Mus musculus: one gene and its partner. The protein of the gene in region 1 interacts with the protein of each later gene in a pairwise test. Links are inferred from orthologs where the notes say so. Each region holds a gene or a part of one and is shown on either strand. Other genes may lie near its edges.

Region 1 (5,229 bases):
GTGTATATGCATGTGTCTGTACATGTGCCTGTTGGGTTCTGTTTGTTCCAGCCCCTCCCTGTTCACTGTGCCTTATGTGGCAATACAGTTTTTTCTTTAGCTCGTCACTTCTGGTCAATAATCATTCTGCCTCAATCACATTTAGACTTAATGGACTTTTGAACGTGTAGTCTTGGACATAATAGTTTTGTGTGTTGGTTTCTCTATTAGTATGTTGAAAATGATAGTAACTATCTGTGGCGCTATAGAGGTGGCTTAGAGGTCAAGAAGATTGTGTTGCCCTTACAGAGAATCCAGATTCTGTTCCTAGCAGCCACTTGGTGGCTGAAAACCTTCTCAATTCCAATTCCAGGAGAAGTGATGCCCTCCCTGGCCTCTGCCGGCACTATACCCATATGGTGCACAGAGAGTACACTCATACACATAAAGTAAAAACAAGTACGTCTTTATCTTAAAAAGTCATCAGGTTGCCTTTGAGTGAGCTAGGCCACCAGCAGGCATGGAAGAAGTAGTTATTGGTGAGTTGCATCCACTGGTTTTCTGGGGTTCCAAAATCAATGAAAGCATTCTGTGCGATGCTCATCGGCTTCGTGGAATCGACAGTAGAACAAACACTTGCATTGCTACGTGAAAGTTGTGTGTCTCCCATTTTTCTGTTAGTAAAATTCGTAGTAAATTTTGGTACACGCACACACGGTCCTTTGTTATTTCTAAATAGTCATCACTGGATGAGTCGGCTGTCACTTCTGTCCTGCAGACTTCTGGATGGGTTTCTAGCATATGGATAGTGTCTGGATTTAGCGTGTAGCAGATGCTGTCAGTATCATACACAGATCTCCTTCCCTGGGCCAGTGCATCCGTCTCCCAGCTGCTGTGCTATTGGCTGCTAATGACTCACACCTGTACCCTTCTCCAGAGGACCACTCTTGGCTGACAGAAACTGCCCCAGCCAGATATGTTGGGAAATCTGGTCCCAGCCCCCTCCAAGTACCTAGGGGCGGCTCGCAGCCAGTAACTATACAGAGATTTCCTGGCCTTGGGACTGGACGTCTTACATGATTCGGTCCAGACTCTAAGAGCTCCATGGAGGATCAAGCTGGGGGTGAGATCTCTGGCGTCAGATCTTCACCATGATTCTGCCCCCAACTAGTTTACTGCTCTCACTTCTGACTTCTCTTGACAGTATTCTTTCTATAATGATGCGTGCAAGCAGGGCTTTTGCCGGCTCTGCTTCTATGGAACATCACCTTAGGTGTGGCTAACCTCTGTAGCTCTCTTGTTCTATTGGTTCTCCAATTACTGAAGCAATCGATTTCACATGTCAAATAATCCAGGGTTGAAATTTCTTTGCTCTTTTATCTTTTATTTGTTTCCTTGGTTCCATCCTTTCTAATGGGTATCAACACTGTTCTCATTCCTCCTGTTTGCTTATTTATGGTCATTTTTCAACTCCCCTTAATGCTTTTATGTATCTAGGCTCTTCAGTGTACTGTAATGGTGAGTTATCTTACATTTTAGGATCTGAAAATTAGTTTCAGAACCTAAGTCAGTTAAACATGCAGCCCTTAGTTACTGGAAGAATTGTATGGTCTATTCTCAACCCTCAGCATGCTGCCAGGAATATAGTAAATAATCAATAAATGTTTGCTGCCTTGTCACACGTATTAATTTTTAATTTATTTGACTTGCTCTAAAGGGGACACTTCAGTGGTGGTATTTTAATACGGTGTCATCAGCACCTCTAGATTTCCTGCTTCTCCCTGAGAATAGGAGCTGCCCAGTTTTATCCAGTGGTGTGTTGGCTTGATAAGGAGAATAGGCTTGATGCACTTCTGCCAGCGGTGTTCTCCCGCCATGGCTCATTTTGAGCTGCTAATACGACATCACTGAACATGGAGTTGGGAGCAAATAGATATGAATGGCCTTTGCGAGCCAGCGTACTCTAACTCTAGTCCCAAATTTGAGCTGTCTGGGTCTCTAACATTTATCACATTATGTCACACATGGGAGCCAAATGTTCAATATGTGATTAAAAACCAGAGTTATTAACTGATTGGAATTGGCTCAAGTGGTGCAGATTAGTAAATTACTTATCTAATTCTTGTTATATAACCAACTACATCCCTTTTGTTTACCACAGATGCACACACACACACACACACACACACACACACACACACACTGGCCCTTCCTGGGCAAATTCAATTCAGAATTGAATTATTAAAACAATTCAATCAGAAATACCAAGAGCCATTAGACGGTTCTTCCTGACTTTCCTCCTAAGCACCGTGTCTCACCGACGCCATGAGTATGTGCATTGTCTTTGCTTTGCCTCATGAGTAGTAAACCCAAGTAGATTTATACAGGTACATGAAAGGCCAAGATTTTAGTGGTTCACAAATTTCAGTATTTAGTCATAAAAAGTTATTATGCTAATAACCCTGTTCATGGAGTTAAACAAGGCCGCTCAGCTCTGTCCAGTGTCTGCTGCTACAACAAAGTACAGACTGGGCAATTTCTAACGAAAAGAAATTTACTGTAGGTCTGGAGGCTGGAATGTCCCAGGTTGAAGCTCTGTGTCTGGTGAGGGTCACAGTGCATCTTAATGTGGCAGCTGACATCACTGCTCAGAGACACTAAGCAGGAAAGTGTGGTTGTCTGTTTCTCCTTTCATAAAGTCATATCCCATCATGGCGCCCTTACCTTGTATCACTAACTCTGACTATCTCCATAGGTCCCAGCTCCAAATGCCATCAACGTAAAATCAAAAGATTAAGTTCCTGTCATGTGAACACTTGGTGAATATTTCAAGTGTTGCCTTATTCTGTTATAAGTTACCACCAAGCGTGTAGCACTGGTATACCAAGGTGGTGAATGTCTGGGTCAATTTGCTGTCTGAGATGGGATGTCACTCAGTTTGGGAAGAGTGTAGTTCATTTGGGATTGATAAACAAAGTCTAAAACATTCTTTCGACTTTAATGATTTAAAAGAGTTTTCCTGGTCATTTCCTCCCTGTTTTGCTATAAAGCATGAAGATCAGTGTAAACATGTGTGCTATGTATGCTTCCTGGCTGCAGTCTATGGACTATGATGCCTTCATCTTATCTACACGACCTGCATCTTTTAGATTCCTGGTCTATACCACAGACTTCAGCCCTCAGTTTCTGAAAAGATACATTGGTTCCCAGTAGAAATTGTTATTGCTGTGTTTCTAAGTTGATGAGTTCTACTTTTAAAATGGAAATGCATTTCGTTTCGACAGGAGCTGACAATATCCGGAAATACTGGAGCCGCTACTACCAAGGATCTCAAGGGGTCATATTCGTATTAGACAGTGCCTCTTCAGAGGATGACTTAGAAACTGCTAGGAACGAACTGCACTCCGCTCTCCAGCACCCACAGCTATGCACTTTACCCTTTTTGATATTGGCCAATCATCAAGACAAGCCAGCAGCTCGCTCAGTACAAGAGGTATGCACGACTCTTAAATGCCGTAAGTCTGTCCACTGTCGAACTATGGCCGCCGCTGTCAAGTCTAGGAAGACTGTAGACCTATGAGTGTGCTGGGTGTGCTGTTTTTGCTTCAGAACCATCATTCTCCTGGGAAGGGGGAAGCCCATTATGAGACCAGTGAAAAAGCACATTTATATACCTAAGGTTGCTTGAAAAACAAATTCTTTTTTAACCGGAAGATAGCCCTGGGTGTTCCCCCATTTCTTTTGAGGGGGTAAAGGTCTGGCTAACTTAACATTTTCATTTAACCTTTGGCTTGTGTCCTTCGCCACTAGCTTTCAGAAGGTTACACTGTGGCTTTGGTAGCCATCACTCAGCCTCAAGTACCGTGTTCTTGTTCCTCTGAAATACTTGCTGTTGCTGCAAGCCTGGTGTCTTATCTCGCAAGTTCCATGCCCCCCAAAATATTTCAACATGGAGTCACTGTTTCCTTCCCAGTGCATTTCTTTGCTTGTTTCTCTCCTATGAAAGTGGGAGGCTATTCTGGGTAAACAGTGTCCCTCTGAGCCAAGTTTTTGATTTCTGGCACTAAAAAATAATACGATGTAAGTAGCATGTAACTCGAACCGCCACTGTTGAGTTCCTTTGCACCTGCACTTTGTAGAGTGTATTTTTTACCATCTCCTTCAGAAAACTGCAATGCCCTGAGTGGTTTAAGATTAAAGTGATTACAAGGAATAACATTGCCGTTCAGTCTGAAAAAGCAGATAAGGAATGAAGAGTACAGTGTGATTTAGCTCCAAGCCTTGCTCACACTTAGCCAAGAGCCATGGCTAGTAGCTTTGTTCGTATGCCCGGCTTCCCACCTACTTATTCTAAGTGCAGAGGATTAATTTGAATGATTTATTCTCATTTCACAGTATTAATACATGGAAGAGTGCCCATGTATAGATACTTCTTACTTGTTTAAAACAACAACAAAAAAAGTGAACCATTATGATTTATTACTCAGCCCACAGAGCTGTCTGTGGTTGCCTCTGTTTGTCTTCAAGACTCACTACCCTTTCACTTTATAGATTCTGGAAAATATATTTGGTAGTAATTAAAGAAAAGTAGCAGTTTGGTCATGGTGGCGCACGCCTTTAATCCCAGCACTTAGGAGGCAGAGGCAGGCAAATCTCTGATTTCAGGGCCAGCCTGGTCTACAGAGCAAGTTCTAGGGCAGCCAGGGTTACACAGAGAAACCCGGTCTTGAAAAACCGTCTCCCATGCCCCCTCCCAAAAAACAAAGAAAAAAAAATAGCCATTTATGTTATTACCATTCCGCTGTCCCGCTGTGCAGTTGCGAGGCCTCCTGGATCTGCTGTTAGCATCCTGGTCCTCTGGCTTGCTTCGCAACATCAGACCTTCTATCTGTGGAAGGAATATGAGAGAATGTCACAGCGCGTCCTTAACCAGTGGCGTGTCTCTTTACGTTGGTGCTTGACTCTAAAGTATGCTGTCATTCTCACAGGCAGTATGTGTTCCTGTAAATATAAGTATCCATGTATTAAACGTGTGTATGATATGTTAGAATGATGTTAGATGTAGTCGCTGACAGGATGTCTTCGGGCTTTTTAAAGAAATATTTTCTTAGATATCAGATGTAACTAAGACAAAGTTTTTGAAAGATGTATTTTCATCATTTTCAGTTGTGGCGGGGAGGGTATGTGAATGTGAGTATAGATGCCCTCGGAGGTGACAGGCATCCATCCGATCCCCTGAGAACTGAACTT
Region 2 (5,882 bases), on another chromosome or scaffold:
ATAAATATCTCAGGCTTCCTCTGGAAGCCATTCCAGCTCCTAGTGGGAGTCTAGGTGGGGACAAATGAAAGTTTCAAGCTGCCCCTCAGAAAATAAACAACAGCTGTGTCTTGTTTTGTTTTTTAAACTAACTTCCACACACCTCTGTGGACTCTAGGAAACTTCAGAGGGTACTAAAAGGCCAGGCCCTTCTCCCTGCCCCACGTCTAGGACATACTGCTAACCCCATCCCTCACCCTCCTAGGTATATAGGGCTGTGGCTGCCGTCCAGAAGGCAGCAAAGGCCTTAGCCCTTGGGCACCTGTCGTCCGCCTTTGCTGCCAGCCAGGAAGCCGTGACCTCCTCCGAGCGCGCCTTTTTTGACCCCTCCCTCCTCCACCTCTTGTATTTCCCCGACGACCAGAAGTTTGCTATCTACATTCCCCTCTTCCTGCCCATGGCTGTGCCCATCCTCCTGTCCCTGGTTAAGATCTTTCAGGAAACTCGCAAGTCCTGGAAAAAGCCTGAGAAGATAGACTGATCCGGGCAGCATGTCAGAGGGAGCCCTCCTCTCTAGCCACGCTGGGAGGGTGTTGGGCCAAGAGACCAAGGCAAGGTCTGCTGGTGATGACATGTCTTCACTCTCGCCCGTGGGCTCTCTACGGATGGCACTCCACGATGGGCTCCCTTCCCCTCCTAGTCCACTGGCTTGCTCCTCCATGCCTACAAGCCTCAGAAGGTACCCTTCCTGATCTCCATATCTGGCTCGAACTTGAAAGCCTTTGTGTGCCTACCTCTGGACAGGGGTACTTTGTCCTTGCAGCCTGTCAGCACAGCATACAAACGCACTGAGAGGTGAATTTAGGGGAGTACTTGAGTTGAATTGTAGCCCTGTCCTCTCCACTTCTGAGACCACCTCCCTCCTTCCTCAGCTTCTTGACTGGCGTCACCCACTGGGGACAGCCTGGTCTAGGAGGCAGTGGCTTAGGATCTTCTACCTTGTGGCTAAGGTTCCCCTCTACCCTTTCAGAGAGGTAGTGTGGAACAGGAGAAAACATTTCTGACTTGGAACCCAACAGGCCTGAATCAGACTCCGGCTTCTGCACTTAACAGACTAGAGAGCATCAGCTAAGCCGCTCCTCGCTCCTCACCTGAGCCTCAGGTTTCCATTGGTGGGAAAGCACTGATGATGTCACCCTCAGAAAGGGGCTGGATTAAATGTGATAAGCCTGTAAAAGTGTTCTGTATATTGGGCTCTTTAAAAACATACATTAGACTGTTATTAAACGTTGGTTGAATATGAGTTGATATGGATGACCATAACTCGTTCTTGTGTGAGAAGCAGACTGACCTGTTCTAGCTCACCATGTGTTCTTCCTGCCTCCCGTCCTGAGCATCCTGGGGACGGCTCGACACCTGGGCTGTGCTGCCTGCATGTTGTAGGGTGCCTGCGGATTGTAGGGTGCCTGAAGCAGCTTTTAGCAGGAGTTCTAGTGGGGAGTAGCTTGAGCCAGTGACAGCCCTGGGATAGCAACTCAATTCAACAAAGGAAAATACTGGGTGGGTACTGGCTGCAAGGAGCTGTGTGGTAGTGCTAGGGTGTTACGAGGAACAGTGTATAGAGCATCTCTGCTTTCATAGAGCTGACCTTTGAGGAGGAAGGGTCAGGGAACAAGCAAGAATTTCACTTAATGTATTACAAAAAAAAAAGGGCTGGTTAGCTGGAAATTGAGAAGAAGTACTTTAGAACTGGGTGGGTTGAGACCTGGGCTGAAGTCAGGACAAAGGTATCAGGGAAAGACCTTGAGGTTGGAACCCAGGAGAGAAAGAGGAGAGGTATTCGGTAACTACATTGTCAAAAAGAATCTACATTGTCAAAAAGTTCACAAGGACCCCCAGGATTCTGGCTCCCCCGCTGGAGACGCCAGGCGGTGGGCGGGGTATGTGTGACCCGCCTCCCGTGGGCGTGACCAAGGCGGGACGGCACCTGGGGCCCGGCCGGGGGTGGGGCGGCGGACGCTCCCCCTTCCCCTGGCTCCAGCCGGCGCAAGCAGCGGCGGCGGTGGCAGCGGGCGAGGATCTGCGGCCCCGCGAGGCCATGAAGGTGAAGAAAGGCGGCGGCGGGACCGGGTCGGGGGCGGAGCCCGTTCCAGGGGCCTCGAACCGGAGCGCGGAGCCCACGCGGGAGCCTGGGGCGGAAGCTGAGTCCGGGTCCGAGTCGGAGCCGGAGCCAGGCCCGGGGCCCAGGCTGGGGCCGCTGCAGGGCAAGCAGCCCATCGGGCCGGAGGATGTGCTGGGGCTGCAGCGGATCACGGGTGGTGAGCACCGGCGAGGGAGCGCCACCCGCGGGCTGGAGGGAGAGCGCGGGAGGGGGCCCACGAGGCTCAGAGTCCAGCCCCCACCCCTCCCCCACGCAGTGCCCCTCCTCTGTATCCCCTTACTCTCTCTCTCTTTGCCTCCAAGCCTGAAATCTCTGTGCTCTTTCCCTTGGTCTCTTGATGCGCCCCCTCCTCTCCTTGAAGTGGCTTCTTTTCACCCCACTCCTTCTTTTTCAAGGGGCCCACCCCTTTTCCCATGGTGGAGGTGGGGCAGCAGCTGCATCTGTAACCCTTTCCCCAGTGGAGTCTTCGGAACCCTTTGAGGGTGCTCGCACAGAGGAGTGTGCCTCATTGCAGGCTGTCTTCAGTGGCCACATCAGGCTAGGTGGAGGCAAGGAAAACCTTCAGGCTCCCTGACCGACCGTTATAGCCCTCACTCTGCTTCCCCGAGGAAGGCTGAGGCCATACTCTGCCCAGGAACATTGCTGATACGGGTGCTTCCGTCTGTTGGCTGTGGGCCCTGTGATGGAAGCAAGTGCGTGACCCCCCTCCCCCCAAGTCAGGACTTGTTCTTTTTCCAGGGCTCTCTCATCAAGGGAAGGCTAGTCTCCACTGAAACTGAGTTTCTGAGCTGTGCTACCTGGATTAGAGTCCCAGAGTTTGCCCGGAAATTGGCTGTGTGACCTTGGGGATGTAATTTCATTTGCAGGAGCATGTTTGCTTTTTTTTTTTTTTTTTTTTTTTTTTCCCATCTGTAAAATGGGAACAAGAACAATGTTACCTCCCTCAAGGTTATTGTGAAAAATAAAGCCAGTCTTCTGATTTTGGACAATGTTTGGCATGCTGTGCACGCTGTCAACAGGGTTCCTTTATCAACAGTGTTGGAAGCTACATAGGACTGTTCAGAGTGGCTGCCTGCAGGCAGATAAGTGATCGTTCAGGGCCAAGGCAGGCACCGCTACAGACAGTGCACAAGGACTAGAGAGTCTTCTGGCAAAAGGTTGGCTGAGCCTTGAGGAATGGAAGGTATTTGGAGAGACAGTGGCGGGTTGCCTTGGAATGGGTAGGTCACCAGCAACCTGCTCCGGCTCCACTTGTGAGCTTAGACTTCCCTTCTCTGGGATGGACACGGGTGCTAGTGTGGAAATAAACCCGCTAGCCTCAGGAGCAGCAGAGCCCAGGGCTCCCAGACAGCTGTGGAGGGGACCAGGATGACAGGCCTGAGCTTGTGCATCTGGGTCCCCAGGGGCCTCCCTCCTCCTTCCAGGGCTAGACAGCGGCATTCTTGGCTAGACTTCCCCAGCACTTGCTTCCTTGGCCAGGCAGCCCTCAGTGGAGGGAGGGGCCTTGACCAGGCTGATGTGGAAGCCCGTGGGCTGCTGCCTTTTGCAACAGGAGACCTTACAGCTTAGCTTGGCCCTGTGCGTTGGAGGGCAGGTTCACTGGCCTCTGGCCTGGATAACTGGAGGCTTATTTTGCAATGGAGGAAGCTTCCAGGTGAAGTCACAGCATGTGTCTCCCAGTCTGGAGGAAATGGCATAGCATGTGGAGGATGAGTTAAGACAAGTGCCTCTTTAAGAGCCCTTTTCTGTGCAGGATTTGAAAACAGGGTTCCAGGCCTCTCCACCTTGCCTGCATCTTGTGACCCTAATCACACAGGGCTGAGGTTTGCTGTTTCTGGATTACCAGGCCTTGAATCCAGATTAGGAAGCTATTTCTGTCCACAAGGACGAGAGCAGGTGGGTTCTGAGCCACTCTGCTCATTACTCTGGCCTGACCTTGGGTCCTAGGCCTCGTCTTTTTCTTGGCTGAGGAGAGGAAGTGGCTGCCTTCCTAGGCAGCCCCTGATCCTCGCTCCTTGTAAGGGCAGAGAGGCCCACAAGTTGAGTTTGCAGTGTAAGAGACTGAGTGCAGAGTGTGAGAAATCCTTCCCAGTGAGAGGAGAGGGTTCCAGGCTGGGCCTGCTGTAAGAAAGGAGGCTTTTCCTGGGAGTTGGGCAACTAGGCCTCTGCTTCCAGTTCTGCCCCCCCTTCTCCCTCTGCCCTGCAGCATCTTTCTATAGCTTTATCTCAGACCTCAGCTCCAACGAGCTAGAGAGCTGTCAGGAGGGCTTCCTGGAGGGGGCTGTCCCCGGCTTGGGGAGGAGACAGGCCGAAGGATGAGAGAATAGCTTTATATTCACTTCCTTTTTCAACCACAGAGGGATAGGGGGTGGCCCAGGGACCTGGGGGTGACTTCCGGGCCTCTGTAGGTCAGCGGAGAGGATGTGGTACCGGAGGCTGGCAGTACCCAAGTCTCCACAGCAATTTTCTGCCCCTTCCTAATTCTTGCCAGGGCCTCCCCTAAGACTTGGTGTAAGGTTTTAGGAAGCAGGAAGATCGGGAGTTCAAGGCCAGCATCTGCCACATAGTGAATTTGAGGTTAGCCTAGGCTACATGGAACCCTGACTTAAAAACAGCAACAGAAGAGTGGTAACGGTTAAGACCATGAGCGCCCCTGGGCAATGCTTGGCTCTCTTGGTTTCCTTCTGAGCCCAGGACTCTTCTTGCCTCCTCTTTACCCTGCTGTACCTGCTGTGTCCACCACACCCTTTCTGCCTTGGCCTCTGTTCTTTTCTCTAAAGACCAGAAAACACTTTTATTCCTGAATATGGCGCAGGGCCAAAGCTGGAAATATGACCTCTAAGGGTTCCCTCTATTTGCTAAGACTTCCTCCCATTGGGAGATCAGCAGAGGATCTGTTGAGCAAAGTCGGCCCCTTCTGTCCCAGTAGCCTGGGCTTCCTGGCTTGAGTTAGCAGAGCTCCCATAAGCTGCTTAAGAGAGCTGGGCTAGCATAAGCTGCTTACGGTGGGAGGAGGGGCCAGGGGCAAGAGAACAGGGAAGGGGTACCAACCTGCCCCCATACAGTCCATGCAAAGAGAAGTCCTCTCAAGACCAGCCTTGCCTGATGAATGTAGATGTCATGCCACAGGGTGTGTGTGGTGGGAGTGGGGCGCACTCAAGGGAAAACTGTAACTCTCCTCCCCCAAGAGGCAGAGCTCCCTGCTCCCTTGAGAGTGAAGTCCCTCTCAGGCTGGGAGCTTCCAGTAGGCAGGAGGTCTAGTTGTCCAAAGGATGCACGCCACCTTCACAAAGCAGAGGTTGAAGTTAAGGATTGCCAAGAGGGTGGGAGGGTTGGTATGGTGGAGGTGACTTCCCTTGCCTGATCCTGTGAGGAGGCACCTGGATGGGGCCGTTCATCTCTGATGAGGTCCCCATGACAACATGCTGTCCCCTGCACTGTAGGTACTTTTCAAGATAGGGGCACAGTTCTCTTTCTGGAGGGAAGTGGTCAGAGGGATCATTGGAGCGGGCCACGGGGTCCCACTGAAACTGAAGTGACAATGGGCGTTTTGGGGTCCCTGTGTGCTCAGCTGCTTGTCTCCCGTAGACTACCTGTGCTCCCCTGAGGAAAATATCTACAAGATTGACTTCGTCAGGTTCAAGATCCGTGACATGGACTCAGGGACTGTCCTTTTTGAAATCAAGAAGCCCCCTGTTTCGGGTGAGTGGGATTGGTACACCGTTGAGAGGATGAGGTGGGC

Evidence for each region.
Region 2: the proteins of Arl15 (region 1) and Unc119 interact in binary tests that used the Homo sapiens proteins (3 or more experiments, as listed by UniProt). The link is inferred for Mus musculus from reciprocal best matches to the Homo sapiens genes ARL15 and UNC119.

Annotation. Positions count from the first base shown.
Region 1 is NC_000079.6:113,964,319-113,969,547, forward strand, and holds part of Arl15 (ADP-ribosylation factor-like protein 15), read left to right. Parts: intron 1-3,263; coding exon 3,264-3,472; intron 3,473-5,229.
Region 2 is NC_000077.6:78,341,490-78,347,371, forward strand, and holds the start of Unc119 (protein unc-119 homolog A), read left to right. Parts: upstream 1-2,005; 5' UTR 2,006-2,077; coding exon 2,078-2,297; intron 2,298-4,094; exon of another isoform or gene 4,095-4,193; intron 4,194-5,220; exon of another isoform or gene 5,221-5,245; coding exon of another isoform or gene 5,246-5,270; intron 5,271-5,728; coding exon 5,729-5,842; intron 5,843-5,882. Other genes in the region: Pigs (GPI transamidase component PIG-S), read left to right, coding at 245-520. UniProt on the Homo sapiens protein: Involved in synaptic functions in photoreceptor cells, the signal transduction in immune cells as a Src family kinase activator, endosome recycling, the uptake of bacteria and endocytosis, protein trafficking in sensory neurons and as lipid-binding chaperone with specificity for a diverse subset of myristoylated proteins.